Lonchura striata: one gene and its partners. The protein of the gene in region 1 purifies or fractionates together with the protein of each later gene. This does not show direct contact. Links are inferred from orthologs where the notes say so. Each region holds a gene or a part of one and is shown in the gene's direction. Other genes may lie near its edges.

Region 1 (7,726 bases):
AACCAAGCAATTTTAATGCAGCACAAATGTGGGAGGCAAACATCCAAAGGACCACATGGATCCTGCCCCACACATTCCTTTAGAACAAACAATTTAAAATAATGTAAAATCAGGGCCATAAACTGGTAATACTTCTCTTCTGCTTTATTTGCAACATAAAACAATGCCAACTTTAACTTGGACTTGGTCTAAATGTAGTTTTGCCAAAATAGCTGTCAGAATGATGAAAAATCCCTTGCATGCAGCTACAGCCACACTGGCAAAAGCCCTGGAGTAGATGCTGTTATATTGGCAGAGTACTTCAGCCACTTTAGCATATTCCATGAGAAAAGTGATTTAAGTTACACCCAAAAAGAAATCTGTACTTGCCAATTCAGCTCTAAGGTGTAGCTATACCAGCCAACTCTTTTAAGTGAAGACAAGGCATGGGTTTCTGGCACTACTCTCATTCCTTTAAAGCTAGATTTATGGGTTTGGTTACAATTGTGAGCAAAAACTGAGGGGGATTTCAGTGTATTTCAATCATGCTGACAGTGTACAGATGTACCTAAACCTTGAATATGGAAACAGTTAATTTATGTGTTGCCAAAAAGCAGTATATTTTGTGATGCTTAGTGCTATTGTCCTGCTCTTGGTAAAGCAAAAAGAAAATACAATAGTGCATTTTTCAGTATATTGTGAGCTCTATTTTCAATTATTTCAGAATAAGTAAGTTCTAGTAAAATTAACCAGGATGATTAAAAGAAATGAGATGTAATATTATATTACAAATCAAAGGTATTCCACAAGACTTCTGCCTGCCTCAATAGAGGCAGCTATTATGGTCACAGCTGGTTCCTGGGGGTGCTCCTCATGCCTGGAGCTGGGACATCCACAGCAGGTTTGGCAGGCTGCTACTGCTCATCCTGCTCCCAGGAGCTCAGGTTTGGTCCAAACAGCACATTGCCATTCACTGGGACCCAGTGCTGTTAGTCTGGCAGCATTTTACCTTGCTAAGTGTCTACTTGATCAGCACATGCAAAACACACTGCAGTACACAGTACTGTTTGCTGGCAGAAGGCATAACTAATATCTCTTTTTATATTCTCAGCTATTCTTCCAACAGTCAAGTATTATGTAAAGGTTAAGCAGTTGAAAAGAAAATTTTCACAATGGTAGCAAAGCATTCTGAGAGACAGGCAAGTGCACTTAGACCATCAATTTACCTTAATACTCATAAAACTGTGGTAAATTTTAATGGAAAAGCATTTTCTGTCATTGTCAGGGATGGAAAAGGGATCCTGATGCAGTGGCTCACTCCGAGTTTGTATTCTGTGAAAGCACTGACTTTGCCAGACATAGACCACTGTGTTATAATGCACCTACCAGGGGATATGGAAAATGTGTGCTCTGCAATAATGCAGGAGTGAGGCAAGGTTAAAATCATAACAGTGCAGTGCATAAAATGTGCCTGTCAGGTGATTTATGTCCTCCATACCCATTTAGAATGAAATGACTCATTTTAAGAAGAATAACTGGGAAGTTTATGGCCAAAACTTGGTGAGAAGCCAAGAGATGAGGCAGCATTGTGATGCCATATAAAGGATGCCTGCTACTATTGAAAGGCTATGTGCTTTTGATACTTAAAGAACCAAAAGGGACTGCTGCCCCAATATCAAACATTCTGCCTTGATTTATATCCTGATCTGGGCAGTCCCCATTTTCCCAATCAGACAGATTACACAAACCCTGATAGATACAATATTTAACCATAGGCTACAAAGCTGGTATCAGCTGGAAAACTTGGCAGCTAAACCAATGTCATATATGAACTGCAGTTTTCTGGTGGATTTTATTGGCATTTTATCACAGACAGAACGAGGTCTTACTCTTGTTAAAGAATGTGGCTGTAATAGCCCTATTACAAAATGCAATCCAGCTTCTGTCCTAAGAAGTGCAGCTTCAGGCAACTTCACAGTCTGTGCTGTTTTTCCATCTCAAGCCCCAAAGTATTTAGCTAAATATGATCTATTTTACTAAATCATCCATTAAAACAGTAGATAATGACAAAAAGCCCTAAACAAACAAGGGGAGGCAGAAATACCTGACATATTTATCCAAGTCCCTTTTTATCACATAACTAATATTTAGAAAGTGCAGTCATATTGTCTTTGATGCTTCTACAAGACCCTTTCCTCTCTGTTTTTTTTTTTAATGCAGCTGGATAAATACCAACCATTTCAATGTTTGAATTAGCTGAAAAAAAATCATCTGTTCTGATGAATATTCTGCACTTTTGGGGCAATGCTGTGAAAAATGAATACCATACTCCTGTCTTGGCACAACATAAAATTCTATTCCATGCTATGCTATAATTTGTTTATGCTAGAATTTGTTTACCATACTTCATTATTACAAAACATGTCTCTCTTAACAAGAGTGTGGTTTAAAGAAATCAGTCGTTGTTTAATGGCAAATGTCTCGTGCTGGTGTTACTGACAGAGTTTTCAACATGAAAGAGATGTAACAGGCCCATTGTACACTGCCAAAGTCCTGTTATCACTTTACAACTCAAGGAGTATGAAGGAGCTGTAGAGTAAACAGCAGTCGTGGCCTGCCTTTCATCTGTGGTCTGTCAGTGACACGGAGCTGTGTGCAAGCCCAGTGGGTCAGCAGGACAGTAACTTGGGTTAAATGTCACAAGCACTGTTCTGTCTGCAGAATGACAGGCTTTGTGAATGGGCCATGTTGGTCATTTTTCCTGTTGAATTCACAGAGGGTTAAGTGCATAATTACATGGAATACAGAGTATTTTTAAATATTTGGTTGTGAGTTATTAGCATCACTACATGTCGTCATTCCTATCAAGAAGTCTGATATTCTATGCTCATAATGTGTCTGTCCCCTTTTCCTCTCACATATAATTATGGTGTACTTTGGCTAATACTTGCAGTCATGTTCCACATGTGATTTATTTATACCCAAAATGTAAACATAATGAAATTTAGGATAACAGGAGTTATAGCAGACATGTTAATGCAGTTTGCAGTAGCACAAAAGGCAGCTCCACAAGCAGAAGCTGCAGCAGCCGTGTGTAGATAGCCATCTTGAGGATCAGCAGAGCATGACTTGGGGTTACTTTGTGCTCTTCTGCTAAATGAGGAAGGCATAAATCTTTGTATATTGTTTAGTGTAATATAATTTCAGTGTTATTTATTTAAAAATTCAATGAGGCTTTGAAATGCAATTTTTCTTTTAAGGAACTAGGTGGAATGATTAGTGTGAGCATTCATTTGTAGTAGATGGAATTTCATTGTTTCCTCGGGATTTCCCAAAAAACTCCTGCTGGTGTCTGTGTCCTTTCCATCTTGCACATACCCACACAAATAAAACCCCCTGTTCTGCCCTCCCATCTTCCTAGCAAAAGCCTTGGGAGTGGCTCACAGTGCTTCAGAACTTAGAAATGGGCACTCCAGCCCTGAGCTGGGGCTGCGCTGGATCTGCTGTCTGTCTGTCTCTGGGTTCTGGAGAGCTATGGGGAAGAACTGGAACGGCCTTCAGCTAACGCTGAACTGCACATGTCACTAAATTACATAAAAACATACATTAAGGGAATGCTACAGGTGCTAAGAAACCAGGGAAGTGTTTATTCATATGCCACTATTACTGTAACCTCCTGAGGTATATGATCAAATGCTGTATCCTTAAAAGATGCTTCTTTGTAGGAAGTCCACTTGTAAAAGTGCAAAACTTTAGAAATATTTTTAAATTAATCATAAAGCACTAGTTTAGAATCTTACATGAATAAAAATGTATCTTCTTAAAACATGTTTTTTTTGATGCTGAAGGTGTAAATGGAGTCTTTAAACCTAACTGTTCTTTTGAGAAACTCCCTTCTATTCCAGGGCTCTTTTCCTCATTCATAATTTAAGCAGAGCTCACTATCTATAAACAGCACTTACTAGTGCAACAGTGGAAGTTGTTAAGTGGATAGAATAGCTCAGCATTCTATGACAGGCACACGGAAAAGGAGGTCGGTTAAAGAAGAACTACATTTGGCTTTTATTACATGAAATATTCAATTTCTTGGGAGTAAAAATATTTCAGAAGCGGGTATTGAAGCCAGACCGAAGCCTGACATCCGCGAGCCGGCTCTGGGCCCTGGGGGCCGCTGCGCCTCCCCTCCCGGGGACATTCCCCGCGGTGTCTCTGCCGCCTCCCGAGGAGCGTCTGTCGCGCCCCGCGTGCTGCCGCACCGGGCACAAACCCGGCGACTCCGGCTCAGGACGCGGAGCGGGGCGCGGCGGGCTCGGTCGGGGCGGAGCGGCGCCGAGCACGCAGCCCTCAGGCAGAGCCGCCCTCAGGCAGAGCCGCCCTCAGGCCGCGCCGCCCGCGCGGACCGGGGCGTGGCACGCGCACGACACGGGCGCGCACTGCCCGCCCCGCCGCTGGGGGCACGCGCGCGCCATCCAATCAGCGCCTCCGGTGTGCCAGAAGTCCCGCCCCTCCGCCCCGCGCGACCAATCAGCGCCCTGCAGGGGGCGTGTTCCGCCGTCCGCCCCCTCCCTGCGGCTCAGACAAGCGCGATGCGCTGGAAAACCCCGAATCCGCTGGTGAGTGGCGGCGCTTGCGGCCAATAGCGCTGCGCAGCGGTGGCGCGGGCGCGCTGTGATTGGCTGCGGGCGCGGCGGAGGGCCGAGGGGGCGGGCCCGCCGCGGCAGCAGGAGCGGGTGTGCGGCGCTCGCTGCGCGGCGGCGATGGGGCAGCGCGGAGCGGGCCGGGCCGGCGCGTCGGGCCCGTGAGGGCTCGGGGACGGACCCGCGGGCGGGCGGGAGGAGGTGAGGAGCGAGCGGCGCCGGGCGCGGCCGCGGGAGTCGCTCGGCGCCGTCGGGCAGGGGCGCGGCCGCCGGCTCGGGCCGCGCTCCGGCCGGGGTCGCGGGCGGTGCCGCCGCCGCTGCGGTGCTGCGGGGCCGGGCCCAGCGGCGGGGCCGCGCTAGGCCGGGGTGGCGGTGGCTCCGCTCTTGGCGGGCCCTGCCGGGCCTTTCCCTGCTTCAGCCTCGCCCCCCGAGCAGCGTCGGCCGCGCCTGAAGTGTTTGGGACTTTCCTTCCCCGTCCTGCGCGGAGCCGCCCGGGGAGCGGAGGTGATGCTCAGGTTTGGGCGGGGGCGAGGATCATTGTCCTCCGCAGCTGAGCCTTGCACGGAGCCCAGCGGGTCGCACGGACGTGCCTTGCCGTGAAACACTCTGTGAGGGAACCAGTGAAATATAATATTCGGTATCATTTCGGAATTTGAGCGCACATATTTCATTTTTTGGGCAGGCCTGGCCGCGAGGTGTCTGCAGAGCGGCTGTATTGGTAAATCTACTAACGCCACAGCATTCTGGCCTTTGGGAATGATTCCTCTTCTGCCTCTCACGGGGATTATTTGTATCAGATTTGTGACGCCGAACACAGCTGCAGGTGCATTTTCTTTTAAGAATCATGCTACCAGTATGAACATCTTTGTATTTCATTGTTTCCACCGGTGTTTTGAGAAACAGTTTCTGTTTCTTCACTCATAGCTTGTATAGCCGACATGTAATTCTGTACAATGAGCTGCAACTAAATTTCCTTGCTCCTAGTTTTAACCTTGCCATGAAAATTGTTTTGGGGCTGTTGAAGAACAGAACTTTGCATCTCAGCTGGTTTAATTATTTTTGGTATTAAAGTGTCAGTTTTTTAAAGAAACCGTATAGTTTATTTTAGCCTTTTTATTTTATACTCTGATTCAGAGCCATAGACGTGTGTTCATTCTGAAACCTGATAGCTGGTTTAAACTTCTTAATATAGTGCATCTAAGGCTCCTGCAGGGTAGAAACAGAGTTCTTGAATTTCAGAGCAAACTGTTATTCTGATGAGATGTCTCTGTAGTGACAACAGTGACTCATAACTGAGGAATAAAGGAAATTAGGGAAGCTTTGAAGTTAGGTAGCTTATGGCCTACCCCTGATAGTTTTAAAAATGTCTTTTTCTTCTGAAGTATGTAGTGTTGCAGTCATAATTGTGTTTTGCCTGTTTTTCCTGAAGTCTTTTGAGCATGAAAAAATTCGGGTAGTGGATGGAATAGAAGAGTGCAGCTGAACAGGCTCTGACACTTAAATTGTTCCTGTTGGTGTCAAGTGCTCTTGGGTTTGCACAAGTCCTGAAGCTGCTGGTGTGTTGTGTGGGGTGACTTTGTGGTAAGGATTAAGTTTCTTGGTTCCCAAGTTAATCATACAGTGGTCTAATAGTTTGTTCTGGTCATAGTCTGCTACGACTGTGCTGCTTGTTCAGCAAAGATTTTTCTTTACTCACAGAATTTAATGGGAAATGGCTCTAAGAATAATCCTAAAATCGGTGGTGTATGTAAATGTATTTTTGGTGCATTGCCAAAACTTAATGTCCTTTTAACAAGCTTTTCTGTGCTCTTAAAATACTAATTCATCACTTGTATTATTTTAAAAGAAGGGTATTTGGTTTTTAAAGCAGTATGGACAGTGGTTGTAGATAAGTTTTTAAAGGAAGGTATTTTTATGTAGTGATAATGAACTCTTTAATAAAGGAAAGCCTTTTGGTACTATAGCCAGGGAGTTTAGTAACATCTCTGGGTAATTAGGGCTTTGAAAGACAGACCACACACCACATAAAGTTATTACATAATCTAAGTGCAGCTGTTGACTGAATTCTTTACTACTAAACATGTGAAGATTCTATTGTTGAAGCAATGGACTTGCAAACAAGATGCATTTATTAAAAATATGTATGATAAATCTTATTTTTTAAAAAATCTATTAATCTTTTTTAAGCTGTTGAACAGACTTTCTCTTTTAATATATTATTTCCATTCATACTTATGAAAATTAAAAGTAATTATTTCTGTAAATGAAGTAGGAAAAATCAGGATCCCCATAATGTTGGAGATACTTGTTTGCAGTCTGCTGGAGATTGGGAAACTGTGGAATGGCTCAGAAGAAAAAGGAAAGTGAAGTGTGTTAGCTCTTGAAAGAACATAAATGGTTTTGAGAACAGAGAATGGAGCTATGCAAAACAAGACAGTTGGTTTTTTTTCCCATTGTGTGAAAAAATTAAAGGGAGAAAATTACTCAGAACTTGTATCCAACTCTTATTTTACTATCTGAGTAGACTTACAAACAACTAATGGTCATTTAATCATGTTTCCATGTGAGGCAGGAGGGGAGGAATCTTGCTGTGTTCTTCATCAGTTTCCACAAAAACTATTTGAGTCCCATGCTCACACCACTTTTTTTGTTAATCATTAACAAACATTAAAGTCCATTTATGTGTATCAGAGGAACGTGAAGAAGAATATTTTTTAACTTGGAAACCCATGGATGGTCTGTGAGACTTTCCTTCAGTGAGGTCTGGGCCTGCCTGGATCCTGCCCCTCAGGAGTTTCTTACCTGGCAGATGGAAGCTCCTTCAGGCACAGCACTGCTGCGAGCTGCTGCAGCAGTGTGGGGCTGTGGTGGTGACACTGACACCCACGTGTCACATCTGTGCATGGTACAAGAGCCTCACCAAGGCAGCACAGCAATCTGTGAGTTCCTAGGGACTGAAAGATGAGGCACTGCCCAGGTTTCAGGTTGTCTGTAGTTACTGCTTTTCTTTGGGGAAAGGGTTTTGTTAAATATTCTGTTTAAAAAGATGAGGGAAATAATTACAGGACTGCTGGATTTCATTGCTTTCCAATAGCTTCTGAAACTGGGTT
Region 2 (7,802 bases), on another chromosome or scaffold:
AAATACCTTTGCTAATTTATAGCTACCTACATTGACACCTCTGTTTAACACATCTTCCATCAGCAATTTCATGTACCATATCTTTCAGACTTCTCAGCTCAAGATCAACCAGTCTACAGTCATCTATCTCTTTCTTCTCCATGTGAAATTTGTTACTACCTTTCTCCCAAGCCAAGTCCAGCTGATGATAGCTGTGCCAGAGAAAATGTGTTTGTTTGGTTACAAGACTGAATCTATACAGTCTCTCACCTTTACTTTGCCCTTACTGCACAGTGGCTGCATTATTTGACTTTCCTGGCTCTCTTTTTGGTTTAGACTACTAGAAAAATCTTGGAGATCTAACACATCTCAGACTAAGAGGCAAAATAAGGTTCAGAAACAAATGTGATCATTTGAGTTTCTGTAATACTCATACAATAGAACTTTTCCTTTTACTAAAGTGAATACAATTCCTTGCATACAACTGAGTTTCCTATTTAGCAAAGCAGCTCACGCATTTATTTTGCAAAGCTTTTTTCAGGGTATTTTTAATATATGCATTTTATCACAAATAATAAGGAACACCCCCACTGAAGGAATTAATAGCTGTTTAGGAGATTTTACATAGTGTGGGGAAGTCTTCCCAGAATGCAAAAGAAGCAATAAAAATACATGAAGCATGCTGGGCATGCTATCTCAATGTATTTGGCAGAAGACACCTTTGTGATGTTTCCCAAGACTTTGCAAACGATTAATGCGGGACATAATTGAAGAACTCATTGAGATTCAAAGTAGAATCACACACAATATTGCAACCTGCTCTTGGGAAATATTAATGTACAAACCAAAGGAGTTGCATGAGAAGAGTGGATTACGCAACAACTTGGCCATGCAGAGAAACAGAAATCTCTCAATATAGTCACAGTGTTCTGTCTTCATGAGGTATTTCCACTGCACCTGCATTGGAACAAGCAGTGGGCTCCTCTTGGATGCCTCCTAGCTGGGATATGAATTTGTGGGGCACGTGTTTCATAGTGTTCTCCATACTACTATGGAGACATGCTCTTTAATCACAAAGGGTTCCCACAAATTGAAATAACGTAACTTCATATTTACAAGACAATATTTAACAGGGACAAAATAGAGTTAGACTTGGCAGAAACATTCCTGTGCTTAATCTAGAAGGGAACATTTTTTGATGTGGACATTACAGTTGCAGATACCATCCAGTATGTTCCACTGTTTTCTAGTTTCAATCTTCAATCACCTAAAGTGAAACATTTTAACCACTTTAAAAAAATGCATATACTAAAAATACAACAAAAGTTGAAGTCTTTTGAAAGAAGAAATCACTTAGCTTTTTTCTAAATTAGTGGAAAATAATGCTTCTTCACCCCTCTTTAAAAATTGTCAGAGTAACTTTAAGGGAGGTAGACAAAGGGTAGCCAGGATAATGTATCTGTGCTTTTGTCTGTATTCATGAAAATGTGTCCAAATTCTAAGTTGTACAATTCCATATTATATTGGATAAATTTTCATTAGGATCTGCAGATATTAGGGCTAAACTTCAGGTGTGTTAAGCTGTCCAGGTGGACTTTGTTTATATTTTGCATCAGACCTACTGCTGTCTCTTCTGAAAAAACAGAGCCCTATACTCTAGGACAGGTGTGACAAAGAGCTCCACAGCAGCTGTCTCAGCTTTGAGTGTGCACACTCTGGCTATGGTACCCAGATGTTTCCAACAATCTTCAAGTGATCACCCACCAGGCAGTGTAACTACTTTGCAATGTTAGAGAGAGGCTACTGAGACCCAGAATGTGGATTTCCCAGGTTCCAGGTTTTTCTCCAAAACACAAGAGCAGTTTTTGTCCAAAATAAACACAACAGATATAGCTTTTCTTTTCCTTTTTCTCCTGTATTTGTTGAATAAATATTTTGGAGATGCACAACCAATACTCAGTCCACAAAATAGCTAATTGTAACTAATTAAGATTATGTCAGTCGGGAAAGAAGGAAAAAAAAAAGTAATATCAAAATTACCACAGCCTTAAAACCCCTCCTGATCTTCACAGCAGTGACATTTTGATAATGATGATGATTCTGCCTTCACAAAGAAAGAGCTCATTATTTTTGATACATATTTCCACATCAATTTCTGAAAGGAAATGAACCTTACAAGCAACTATAATTGGAATGCTCTCTTCTGCTGTCTTAATACCCATCAACAAAGTATAACAAAGGTAACAGAAAAGTCTCTCCACTGAAAAACAGAAGACTGCAACTGCCATTTGCTTGATACATACCCTCAGGAGAGGTCTGTGAAACATAACAAAAAAACCAAATATTCAGTTACATTTACCAGAGATCACCAACTGCCAACGTCTAAAGCACAACCACCCTCTTGGCCATCTTTCTAAAAGGTACTGATGTAGTTCATCTTTCCCAATGCATATGTACCCAAAAAATAAATAAAACGTTAAGCTTTTGGCCTGAAAGCATGTTCATGACTACAACTAAGTATCAAGATTATGGATTTCAAGTATCCAGTGATGGATTTTCACACCTTGTTTTCTTTTCATTCATGCATTTTCCTTGGTTTCAGTTGACTTCAGGTGTTCCTTGTCTTGATCTACAAGTGTTTAAAGAACTAAAGCAATTCATTCAGCAGTATGAAGCCAGTATGAACCAGACTGAAAAGTCTGGTTTTTATTGAACTTGCAATTTTCTCAATCCCTCAGAAATCCATTTTCTTCATCTTCCAATAATCAATATATTGCATACTCCAGCAGCTGAGACAGCAGCAGCTGCTTACTCAAGTGATACACTTTCCTGTAAGTTGTGAAGTCCGGGTATAAACATGGCTCTTTATGACTGTGTCACAGCATGACCAAGACATGCACTAATAGTGGCTTTTGAAAAAATGAAAATTAAACACTTCACTGGGTATAAGGTGGTGCCAGGGTCTGTGTGAACATCCAAACCTATAAACAACCTGGAAAAGCAGGGGTTCTGAATAACCCCACTGCTGGATGAAGCAGGTCTAATATCTGCTTCGGATTTTAATATCTGCTGATATCTACTTCCAGATTTTGTGGTACTTGGACTAACAGAAGATTCTTTAGATCTTTCTACACCAAACCATATCTGAAAATCAAAAATGAACAGCAGAAACTCAGCACAGTCAGCATATGAGTCTGCTCGCCACGTATACGCAGATTGCTTGGGCAATGTAATTGCATCAACCCAACCAGTCCTGCATACGAGTTTCATCTTGCATGCCACAGAGTCAACATGTACTGTGACTGCTTGGCTGGGATTTCTGGACTGGTGTACATCTGAAAACCCTGTGCAAATTACAAAAGCTGACAGAAAAACACAAGAGGGGAGCAAACAACCCATAATGGCAACCTGCCACAAAGTGCAGCAGCTCTGATAGAGGTACTTTCACTTTGGCTTTTTAACAACAGCTGAGCCACCATAAGATTAGGTCACTTCCCATATTCATCCTTGATTTTTTTTTTTTTTTTTTACTAGTTAACTGTTTAAGTGACTTTCTCAGGCTAGCTCTGTAAACCAGATCTCTCTACATTTTTGAGACTTCCTTGTGAGGTACAGACATTCACTAGCATGCTAGCAGTGGAAGATCTAGGAAAGCTTACTAGATGTACTAAAATTACATACTATTAATAGTATTGTACAATAACATAACTTTTTATATATAGCCTGAAGGCTAAACATATAAAAATGAAGCACAGCTGTTTCAGGGGAACACAGCAGCTCTATTCACTCATCTCAGCACTGATTTCACACCATGGACTGCCCTGAAGCGTCAGTCTCAGACATTTCCCACCGAAACACTAATGGGGTGGGTGCTCCAGCCAAAAACAGGAGCAGGATACAGCCCTGGCAAAGAGCGGACAGGACTCCCTTGGAGAGGGAGCGGTTAAGGTGTACGTTCATCCCCCATCCCTTTAGTACTACTATCTGTTTACATCAACCGCTCCATTACCCCCACTCCTCAGCTGCCCTCCTACACACAGGTTTCCCCTGAGAAAGCACCGCTGAAGAGCACAAGGCCTGCCCTCGTCCCAAGACGCCGTACAGCACCTGCTGCCCTGGAGAAATACAGGCACACACCCAGGAAAAAGGCATGTGCGTATGTATGTAGGGAACAGGCCCCCGCGCTCGCAGGGCGGTACACGCAGCCCGGGACGGGGCCGCGCCTGGCAGCTGCCCGGACCCCGCCGGGCCCATCCCCGGCGGCAGGAACAGGAAGCGGGGCCGGCCCGGGGCCGCGGCTGCTCCCCCTGGCGGCGGCGGCGGGGCGCGGCGGGGGCGGTGCCGCCGCCAGGCCGTGGCCCCGCCGCGGCCGCCCGAGAGGCCGCTGCTGCCGGCGCTTCCCGCCCGCCCCCGCCTGGCGCTCCCTCCCTCCCTCCCTTCCCCGCTCTTTCACTCCGTCCCTCCCTCCTCGGCCGGGGCAGCAGGAAGCGGCTCTGATGTCAGCGGCGGCGGCCGCGGCGCGGCTCTGAGCGGCTCCCCCACCCCCGCCGCGGCCCCTCTCCCGCTGCCGCCGCCGGGGCTGGCGGAGGAGCGCGGCTGCGGCCCCGGGGGCGCCGCCTTCTCTCGCCCGCGGACGCGCGGCCGCGGCGGTCCCGAGCTGCTCGGAGGCCGCGGCCTAGGGCAGTCGGCGCGGCGCCCCGCGGGGGTGCGGGAGGGCTCGGGATGCGCAGCGGCGGCGCCGGGGCCTGTGCCCGCCGCCAGTGAGGCCCGAGGCCGCCGCGGATGCGGCCCCGGCGGCGCCTCGGCCAGGCCCGCCCCGACCTGCGCCGGGAACCGCCGCCGAGCCCCGCGTAGCCCCGGCTCCGGCCCTCGGCTGCCTGGTGCCGGACCCTCGCGTAGCCCCGGCCCCCTCTCCTCCCTGCGGTGAAAGAGGAGGCATGTCTGCTGCCGCCTCCGCTGAAATGATTGAAACCCCCCCGGTCCTCAACTTCGAAGAAATCGACTACAAAGAGATCGAGGTGGAAGAGGTGAGTGAGGGTCCCGCCGTGCCCCTCGCTCCCCGGGCGCGGCCAGCCTGGCCCCGCCACGCAGACCCCGAGCGCCCCCGGGGTTCCCCTCCCTGGCGCCGGCCCTCGGCTGCGGGAGGGTCCGCGGGGGCTTCGCGGGTGCTCCGGGGTGCCAGACCCCCCCAGTACCTGACCGGGGGTTCTCTGCTCCTGTGGATGCTACTGCGGCTGGCACCAGCGAACAAAGCGGTCTGGCTGGCTGAGAGCGGAGGTGCCAGCTTACTTCTGCCGGACCTGCTGCTGGATGCCTTACTGTGGAGTTTTGTTTAAACGGGATAGATTTATTCAGTCAGGACTTTAAAGTTTCGCCTCCCATTTTGCCACCCACTTTAGTATGGGTGGCAAGCATAGTTGTCAAGAGGGAACTGTTAACTCTAATGTTTCTTTTAGATCTCTATTTCTCTATGGCCCTGCTTTCACCTTCTGCCACCAAACTGAGCCATTGTGTATATAACGATCATGCTGCTCTTAATGATTTGCTAAATTTACAGCTCTGTGAGCTGTTACGATAAACAGGGTTTTTTTTTCTTAACATGGGCTAGTTATGTTGCACTCATGGATATTTAAGGAAGTCACATTCAGTAATTTTATAACAAAGTTGGAAGTTTTTCTTCTGTGAAATTCACATAGTGAAATTATTTCAGGTGTACCTTTCATCTGTCGGGTTCATGTGAAAGTAGGGGGGGTGTGATCTAGGGTAGCTCATATGCTTTGATAACAGGCTCAGTAGTCTCTATATACTACAGTGTTGTTTGACTCTCAGAAGTACACAAAAATATTTCTGCTGTTTTTTCCTGTCACCTACTGAATTCTCTACAGGAATAAAGTCTCTTCATGTAGATCTATAACAAATTTGATGAGTCCAGCTTGTAGAGTCTGGACTGCTGAAACAGTCCCTGTGCTTTTTTTATAGATTAACATTTTTCTCTTTAAGAGATAATTACCCTGTTTTCCTTAAAAAGTTTGTGTGGAAGTGGAGTTTTGTGTAGTAGCTTTTCTAGGTATGATAACCTGTGTCTCAGGTTTTTAGAGTAGTTTGCTAGATACTGGTTTGTTTATAATTATCCTACTAGGCTTGGGTCTCCTGAGGATAATTCAGGGACCTTAAAATCTGCCATGGGGCACCAGGGCACCTTCTGCTGTATTCAGGCAGTGTTGTGATAACTTCGGCTTTCACCATAGCAGGCACTGGGTGCTGGGAATTTTCAGAAGACAGTATATTTCAAAATACTGCCTTTATCTTTTTCTGTGAATTTGGCAACCATAAAGACTTTTGTTTTTGTAAGTCAAGTTGTTCTACCTGCCTTTATGCATTTAACTATTCTGAAGTGAAGTAATTTTGTTGTTTTTGTAACACTTAGTAATAGCTGGGGATCAAATAGCCTATTTTGGGAGAAATAGCATTTCTCACCCAATGAAGAAAGTTTAAGCTGGTTATCCATTGTAAAAAGGTGCCCAGTGATGGCTCACGGAAGTGAGTGCCACATCTGCTGTGTTAGATGTAGCCCTTTGAATTAATAAAGTGCTATACAAATCTTTAATCCTCACAACACACTTGGGGAGGTTGTTAGCAAGGATTGTATTGCTGTTTTACATGTAGGAAACGTGGAGCTGCATAGTGTGTAATTGGTGTAACTAGAGTTTAGTATTCTAAGGTTTAGTGCTCAGAGATTGACTGTCCCACACATGTGCCTGGTACTGGCAGAAACAGGATTGTCAGTACAAAAATGTATCTAGAGACAATGCCTAAGTAAAAATTTGTTTAATACAGTTGTTTTGTTATTCTCAACACAGTATCTTCGTAGAGATGCAAAACTCATGTGATATAAGCAAGAGAATAGAACTTTGATAGTGTCTCCATAAAAAAATCTTGTTAAAGCTGGCATATCGTTTTGAGTTAACCTGTCCTCCCAGAAGTTCTTATAGACAATGGGAATACCCTAGTGTTAAACACAGTCAAATGTCTTTGCACAGAGGAAGAAATAAGACCTACTTTACAAGAAAACAGATGGATTGGAAATCATACTTAGGTCTTGCTTTTCTGAGCTATGGGTGTTGACCTCTTACTCAGGATGCAGTTTCAGCACAAATAGTCAACTTTGTAGTCACATCAAAACACACATCCTTGCTGAGGATTTTCTGTGCTCTCACTTTAGGCTCAGAGGTTTTCAAGGATTTTAAGTGGCTGTATGTCTCAAAAACGTCTCAAAATTGTCATATTTATGCTTGGCAAACTTCAAATGTTTCAAAATGGAGTGTTAAGAGATCTACATTGGAAACTCAACTGCTTTTATAATCATAGCTTTGCTGTTGTATTATCAAGGCTGTCTTGTCAGCAGATAGCAGTCCCACTCTGACACTGGTTTATTAATAGATGTTGAAGTTCTGGAATACTTGCAGGCCCAGAGACCTTGCTAATAAACGTGAAATCTATAAGTACACTTTTCATTTAGTTTTGTCTGAACTCTACTGAGATAAAACCAAGAATTAACATATTTTCCTTTAGCTACTGTGCACATGACCAGCTGTAGTGTTACTTCCCACCAGTCAAACATATCTCCACCATCATAATGCCTTTTTGTTATTTCAAGTGCTTAAAATGAAGTAAACCATAGAGACAATTGTTATGAAGGAGTTGGAGTAAAATCAAAATCGATGTGACACGGCAGGAGCATCTTCAAAACTAAAACAGGGGAAACAACACAAAATTTAGTTCAACAGAAGTGCTCTCTATTTTACTATGCATGTGTTTGATTA
Region 3 (6,686 bases), about 11 Mb from region 1:
GGCGGCCAGCGGCGCCCTGGGCATGGACAGCGCCGGCCGGAGCAGGGTGAGCGCGGGGACGGCCGGGGAGGGACCCCCGCGTTCGGCCGCATCCCCGGGATCAACCGCCGGGCTCATCCTGCATCCCCGGGATCAACCGCCGGGCTCATCCTGCATCCCCGGGATCAACCCCCATCCCCGGGATCAACACCCATCCCCGGGATCAACCGCCGGGCTCAACCCCCATCCCCGGGATCAACCGCCGGGCTCATCCTGCATCCCCGGGATCAACCCGCGGGCTCATCCCGCATCCTCGGGATCAACCCCCATCCCCGGGATCAACACCCATCCCCGGGATCAACCCCCGGGCTCATCCCGCATCCTCGGGATCAACCCCCATCCCCGGGATCAACCGCCGGGCTCATCCTGCATCCCCGGGATCAACCCCCATCCCCGGGCTCATCCTGCATCCCCGGGATCAACCCCCGAGCTCATCCTGCATCCCCGGCATCAACCCCCATCCCCCGGACTGCATCCCCGGCCTCCTCCTGCATCCCTGCGCTCCCCCCGCATCCCTCGGCTTCATCCGCCGGCCTCACCCCCAGCCGCGGGGCAGCACCCCTGGGGTCATCCTGCATGCCGGGGCTCATCCTGCATGCCGGGGCTCATCCTGCATCCCGGGGCTCATCCTGCATCCCGGGGCATGCCCCCGGACTCGTGGCTCACCGGGGCAGCTTCCCCGGTCTGAGCCGGCACCCCTGGGCTACGCCGCATCCCCGGAACTCCCCGCGTCTCCCACTGGGAGCCGGAGCTGCGATCCCCCGAGGCCGGGGGGTTCCCGGGGTCCCCGCTCAGCCCCCACCTTGGCAGGAGGCGTACGTGGAGTACCTGAAGAGCATCACCCTCATCGCCCAGGCCCTGCAGGAGGAGGCGGCAGGGACAGGTGAGGCAGGACCCCGTGTCCCCCCGCCGAACCCGGGCGGTCGGGGGAAGCCCTGCAGTGCCCTCAACACAGCCTCCCCGCAGAGAGCAGCGAGGGGGTCACCCCTGACACCCCGAAACTGCTGAAGCTGGCGGAGCAGTGCCTGGAGAGGGTCAAATCCATCGCAGCGGCGCTGGGTGAGTGAGGGGTGGGGGTCCCGTGCTGGGCAGCCGGGTGCCCACGCAGGGGTGAGGCACAGCCGGCCTGTCCTGCCCCCTGCCCAGGGAAAGCCCAGGTGAAAGCGGCTGCACAGGAGCGGGGCGGGGGCCCCGCGCCCCTGCCCCGGCACCGCCGCGTCTGCTCGGACGAGGGGGGGAAGCTCTCGCCGTTCCTGCCCCCGGAGATCTTCCAGAAGCTGCAGATCGCTGAGGCACAGAGCGCACGGAAGTACGGGGGGCTTGGACCCGGAGCTGGGACAATGGGGCTGGAACAGAGCCTGGCGGAGCATGGGGGGCTGCTGTGGGCTGGGATACAGGCGTTGGGACGTGGGGGGCTCAAACACAGCGAGTAGGACATGGGGGGTTCAAACACGAGGGTTTGGGATACAAGGACTGGCGGTGGCCCCGCGCCCGCCTGGGGAGTCACGGAGCAGGATGTGGTCCTGGCACGTGTCCTGTGCCCTGTGGCGAGTGCTGAGGCCGTTCCTGCAGGGAGCTGACCCCGCTGGAGGAGGCCTCCCTGCAGAACCAGAAGCTGAAGGCGGCCTACGAGGCGCGAGTGGCGCGGCTGAACCCGAGCCAGGCCGTGCAGAAAACATCCCTGGCAAGTGCGGGCTGGGGAGGAGCTGGGAGCTGGGCAGAGCCGGCAGCCAGGCAGGGAGAGGGTCCCTGGGGGAGCCCCCCTCCCCACTGGTGGCCGTGGGGTGTGGGTGATGTTCCCAAATGCCCTCCTGCTCCGCAGACGCTGTCCCTGCAGCGGCAGATGATGGAGAACCTGGTGATCGCCAAGGCCCGGGAGGAGACTGTATCCTTCCCAGTGGGATTGCTCCACCCTGGCCTGGGTGTCACCCACCCCACACAGGCCTTTGGGGTCCCAGCTGGGGGATGGGGGAGGGCAGAGGGCAGTGGGTGAGCACGGTGGTGGCTCTGCACCCTTAACTGTGCCCGGCCCAGCTGCAGCGCAAGATGGAAGAGCGGCGGCTGCGGCTGCAGGAGGCGGCCAACCGGTGAGTGGGGCTGTCACCGCAGGGACCCTGGGCTCTGGGGACACCCAGCAGTGCCCTCATGGCCCGGGCTGTCCCCAGGAGGTTCTCCAGCAGCGTGGCCCTCACGCCCGAGGAGCAGGAGCAGCGGGCACTCTATGCTGCCATCCTCGAGTATGAGCAGGACCATGTGAGTGAGTGTGTGCCAGGGGCTGCTGGCAGGGCTGGAGGCTGTGCCATGGGGCTGGAGGCTGTGACAGAGGGCAGCAGGCTGTGCCATGGGGCAGGAGGCTGTGACTGAGGGCAGGAGGCTGTGCCATGGGGCAGGAGGCTGTGTCACAGGGCAGGAGACTGTGCCATCCCCATGACCAGCCCTGGACACTCCCCAGGACTGGCCAAAGCAGTGGAAGGCGCAGCTGAAGCGGAGCCCGGCGGATCTCTCAGTGGTGTCGGGGCTCTTCTCCTGCCTCCTGAGGTACTGCTGGGCTGGGCACGGCCCTGCCAGAGCGAGGGGGCTGCAGCTGCTGCCGGTGCCCCCTGCCCACCCCATCGCTCTGCCCACAGCTGCCCCGAGCACCCCATCACGCAGCTGCTGCGGCGGCTGCAGTGTGCGGTGTACGCCCGGCTCTACCCGGCCGTCAGCCGCGGCCCCGCCGACGCCTCCCCTGCCTCCCCCTCGGGTCTGTCCTTCCTGTCGCTGGACGCGGGGGGCTCCTCGCTGCCCCCCGAGCCGGGGGGCCGCCGGCTCCGGGCGTCCCGCAGCCTGCACTGCATGTTCTCGGTGCCCGAGCACGGCCCGGCCGCGCTGCGCCACAGCCGCTCCAGCACGCCCCTGGCCGACGGCGGCGCCCCGGGACCCACCGAGCCCCCCGAGACCCCCCGGGAGAGCTCCTTCGAGGACCTGGAGCGGTTCCTGGCGTCCCCCGAGGGCTGGGCCCCCGCAGAGCCCCCGGCCAGCTCCGCACAGGACGCGGCGCTGCCGGAGCTGCTGAAGGGCGTCGTGAGGGACATCCACAACGCCATCGGTGAGGGACAGCGAGGGGCTGCGGGCGGGCGGGGGGCTCTCCTGCACCCCGGGGCACAGGGTGGGCAGGACGGGGGGGTCCCAGCGTGCTGCGTGCCTCGCCCTTCCCAGACAGGCTGCTGGCTCTGACCCTGCTGGCCTTCGAGGGGCTCGGCACCGCCGCCGGCAAGGACCAGTGCCTGGCGTGCCTGGAGGAGGCTTTCTTCCCCCCGCTGTGGGCGCCGCTCCTGGCTCTCTACAGGTACCATGACCCGCCTCGGAGGGCACCGCCGAGCCCTTCCCGGCACCCCCATCACCTCCGTGCCCGCAGGACCGTGCAGCAGCCCCGCGAGGCGGCCCTGGCGCGCAGCATGGAGCGGCACCGGCACGCCGGCCCCGCCGACATGGGGCTGGCGTCGCGCCTCTTCCCGCCCGGCGCCGGCCGGCCCGCGTACGCCTCGGCCGTGCGGGACCTGCGCCTCATCCCGCTGGAGACGTGTCCCCGCAGGAAGTTGGAGTGCATCGGTGAGCGGCGCGGGGGGCGCGGGGCCGGGGCGCGGGGCCGGCCGCGGTCACCCTGACGCCCGCCCCGCGCCGCAGTGCGGGCCCTGCGCGGCATCTGCGAGTGTGCCGAGGAGTACTGCGGCAGCCGCGACGCCCGGAGCCTCGCCGCGGCCGCCATGTGAGTGCGGGAGCTACGGAGCGGGACGGGCGGCTGCTGTGGCCGGTGCTACGGAGCTGCGCGGTGAGCTGCTGGCGTGCCAGTCCCTGTGGCCGCCGTGGCTGATGGCCTCTGTTGTCGCAGCGGGGCAGACGACCTGCTGCCCATCCTGTCCTACGTGGTGCTGCAGACGGGGCTGCCGCAGCTGCTCTCCGAGTGTGCCGCCCTGGAGGAGTTCATCCACGAGGGGTACGTGCGGGGGTGCGGGGCCATGCAGGCACCGTGGGCTCGGGACACCGGCGCACCCTCCCGGGACAGGGCTGAGCCCGGTGGGTGTGGTGGTGTCGCGGTGGTGACACGGGTGTGGGCGCAGGTACCTGATCGGAGAGGAGGGGTACTGCCTGACGTCCCTGCAGAGCGCCCTGTCCTACGTGGAGTCGCTGCAGTGAGGAGGGGGCGCCGCGGGACCCCCGCGCCCCGGGCAGGTGCTGCGGGTCCTCCCGCCCGCCGGGGGGCGCTGTGGCGCGGGGATCGGCCCCGCCCCGGGGGCGGAGCTACGGGCGGCGCGTGCGTGCCGGCCCGGCGCGCGCGGAAGGGGAGCGGGAACGGAGCGCGAGCGGGGCGGGCGGGGGAACCGGGACCGGGGACCGGCAGGTGCGGGGGAACCGGGGCCAGAGCGGAACCAGGGACCGGCAGGTGCGGGGGAACCGGGACCGGAACCAGGGACCGGCGGGTACGGGGGAACCGGGACCGGGACCGGGGACCGGCAGGTGCGGGGGAACCGGGACCAGGGCGGAACCACGGGCCGGGTGGGAGCACCGGGAGGCCTCGGCGCGGGGAACCGGGGGAAACCAGGGCCGGCGAATGACACCGGGAGGACTGGTACCGGGAGGCCTCGGGGCAGCGGAGTTCCGGGGCTGAGGCTTCGGCGGGGGGGTCTCACCGGTTCGGGAGGGGGTGCCGGGGTACCGGGGTGGGGTCTCACGCCGCTGTACCCGCAGGATGTGTGCAGGCTCGGCGCTGCGGCAGGAGCACCGGCAGGACTACGGGCAGGAATTGCGGCAGGAATTCCAGCAGGAGTACCGGCGCTCGCTGGAGCGGGAGGCCGGCCCCGCCGGGACCTGCCCCGGCCCCGCCGTGGCGGAGCGGCTGCGGCAGCGGCTGCAGCGGGAGCCGGCGCTGCTGGAGGCCCTGCAGGAGGACGCCCTGGCACTGCTGGCCCGGGGGCTGCGGGACCACCCCGACCCCGGGCTGGCGCTGCGAGGCTTGGCCAGCGCCTTCCGACTGCTGGAGCTGGCGGCCGTCAACCTCTACCTCTTCCCGTGGCGCCGGGAGTTCGGCACCATCCCGGTGAGGCCCTGAGGTGGCAAGGGGTGTTGTGGGGGTACCCAGACACCCCCGGCCACGCTCCCCGCTCTCCTTGCAGACCTTCTCCGGCGCCTACGTGCACCTGCTGCGCCCAGCGCTGCCCGAAGCCGACCTGCTGCGGAGTTTGGGCCGCCTGGGCTACGAGCGGCGGGACCGGCACCGCCTGGCTGTGGGCCGGCTGCCGCCGGGGCCCGCGCTGATCGCCGCCGCCGTCGGGTTCCTGGCCTGCCGCCTGGAGTGCGAGATCCTGGCGGAGCTGGCGCCGCGGCTGCCCCGCGCCGAGGAGCTGCTGGAGGCACGGCATCGGGCCGGGGGTGCCAAGGGGCGCCTGGAGATGCCGCAGGACCTGGGGACGCGGCGCAGGGCGGCTCCCGACTGCGGTGACGACGTGGATCTCTACCAGGAGAGGCCAGACAGCCCTGAGGACATGGGGAGCAAAGACACAGCCCCCCCAGTGCTGTGGAGGGACCCTCAGGATGTGCCCAGGAGGGGCTGGGGACGCTGCGACAGCACACTCGGGCCAGAGCCTGTGGGCAGCGCTGATCCGGACACCTCCTCTCACCTCTTCCCGGAGCGGGAGCTGGTGGGTACCAGCAGAAACCCCCAGGTGCTGGGGGAGCTCTGGGATTCCCCCCAGGCCACGCCAGAGCTGCCCTGCTACCAGCTGCACTCGTGCCTGCACCGGGGCATGCTGCCCTCGTACTGCTGCAGCACGTGCCGGCAGCTGCACGGCGGCGGCTGCGCCGTGGGACGCGCCTGCCGCAGCCGGCACCGCGGCCAGGAGCTGCGCGGGGAGCGGCAGCAGCGCCTGTGGCTGCAGCGCACCGAGCTGGACATGCTGCTGGCCAAGGGCTCTGCGCCCCGCTCCTGACGTGGCTGCTGCAGCCGCTGCCCCGGGCAGGGGTGGGCACGGCCCTGCTTGGCACAAGGACCAGGACTCGTCAGCCGCCGAGACTGCGGAGCCCAGGCGCTGCTGCAGCCCGGGCGCTGCTGCTGTAAATTATTCAGTGCATCAGTAAAGTGGCTGTCTCAGCACGAGGTGTTCTGTCCTGGTGAGGGGGAGCAAGATGCCTGGTCCAGGGGCAGGGGCTGCAGTGATGCCTGACAGCACAGCACCCTGCAGGAGCAGCTCCTGTCTTCCTCAGAATGGGGGCAGGATCCACTTAAAGGGGGCAGAACCTGGGGTGTTAATGGAGGCATTCTTGTCCCCAGAGGAAAGGAGAGCAGAGCCACCAGCTGCTCCTGCTGGCACCTAAAAATGGAGCCACCCCACACAATGTTGTCACAGATGCTTTTATTGATGGCAGAGTCGGGGTTCCCCCCAACAGACAGCACAAACCAGGACCCGCCTGGGACAGGACTGACCCTGCCAAGCCTGGGCGTCCCTGGGCCCCATCTCTCCTGGCTCTGGGGCCACGCTCACCCGGCTGCAGACCGGAGCCTGCCCCGTCCCGCACGGGCCGATGCATGGAGGAGCCGTCCCCATGGCGCTGGGACTGTTGGACTGAGGGACTCCACCTCAGCCAGGACACATCACTCCTGTTCCCAGGGA

Evidence for each region. Proteins that work in one complex are often made in the same cells at the same time.
Region 2: the proteins of CYLD (region 1) and MAP3K7 purify together in Homo sapiens (affinity purification with western blotting; 4 studies listed by BioGRID, with this or other methods). This does not show direct contact. The link is inferred for Lonchura striata from reciprocal best matches to the Homo sapiens genes CYLD and MAP3K7.
Region 3: the proteins of CYLD (region 1) and SPATA2L purify together in Homo sapiens (affinity purification with mass spectrometry; 3 studies listed by BioGRID and IntAct, with this or other methods). This does not show direct contact. The link is inferred for Lonchura striata from reciprocal best matches to the Homo sapiens genes CYLD and SPATA2L.

What each region holds. Positions count from the first base shown.
Region 1 is NC_134615.1:11,697,176-11,704,901, forward strand, and holds the start of CYLD (ubiquitin carboxyl-terminal hydrolase CYLD), read left to right. Parts: upstream 1-4,715; 5' UTR 4,716-4,817; intron 4,818-5,192; exon of another isoform or gene 5,193-5,439; intron 5,440-7,726. UniProt on the Homo sapiens protein: Deubiquitinase that specifically cleaves 'Lys-63'- and linear 'Met-1'-linked polyubiquitin chains and is involved in NF-kappa-B activation and TNF-alpha-induced necroptosis.
Region 2 is NC_134605.1:77,513,773-77,521,574, forward strand, and holds the start of MAP3K7 (mitogen-activated protein kinase kinase kinase 7), read left to right. Parts: upstream 1-4,785; 5' UTR 4,786-4,916; coding exon 4,917-5,006; intron 5,007-7,802. UniProt on the Homo sapiens protein: Serine/threonine kinase which acts as an essential component of the MAP kinase signal transduction pathway. Plays an important role in the cascades of cellular responses evoked by changes in the environment.
Region 3 is NC_134615.1:22,853,961-22,860,646, reverse strand, and holds SPATA2L (spermatogenesis-associated protein 2-like protein), read left to right. Parts: upstream 1-4,768; coding exon 4,769-5,116; intron 5,117-5,192; coding exon 5,193-6,005; 3' UTR 6,006-6,169; downstream 6,170-6,686. Other genes in the region: VPS9D1 (VPS9 domain-containing protein 1), read left to right, coding at 1-46, 850-922, 1,006-1,098, 1,186-1,348, 1,612-1,723, 1,862-1,924, 2,074-2,126, 2,205-2,292 and 7 more.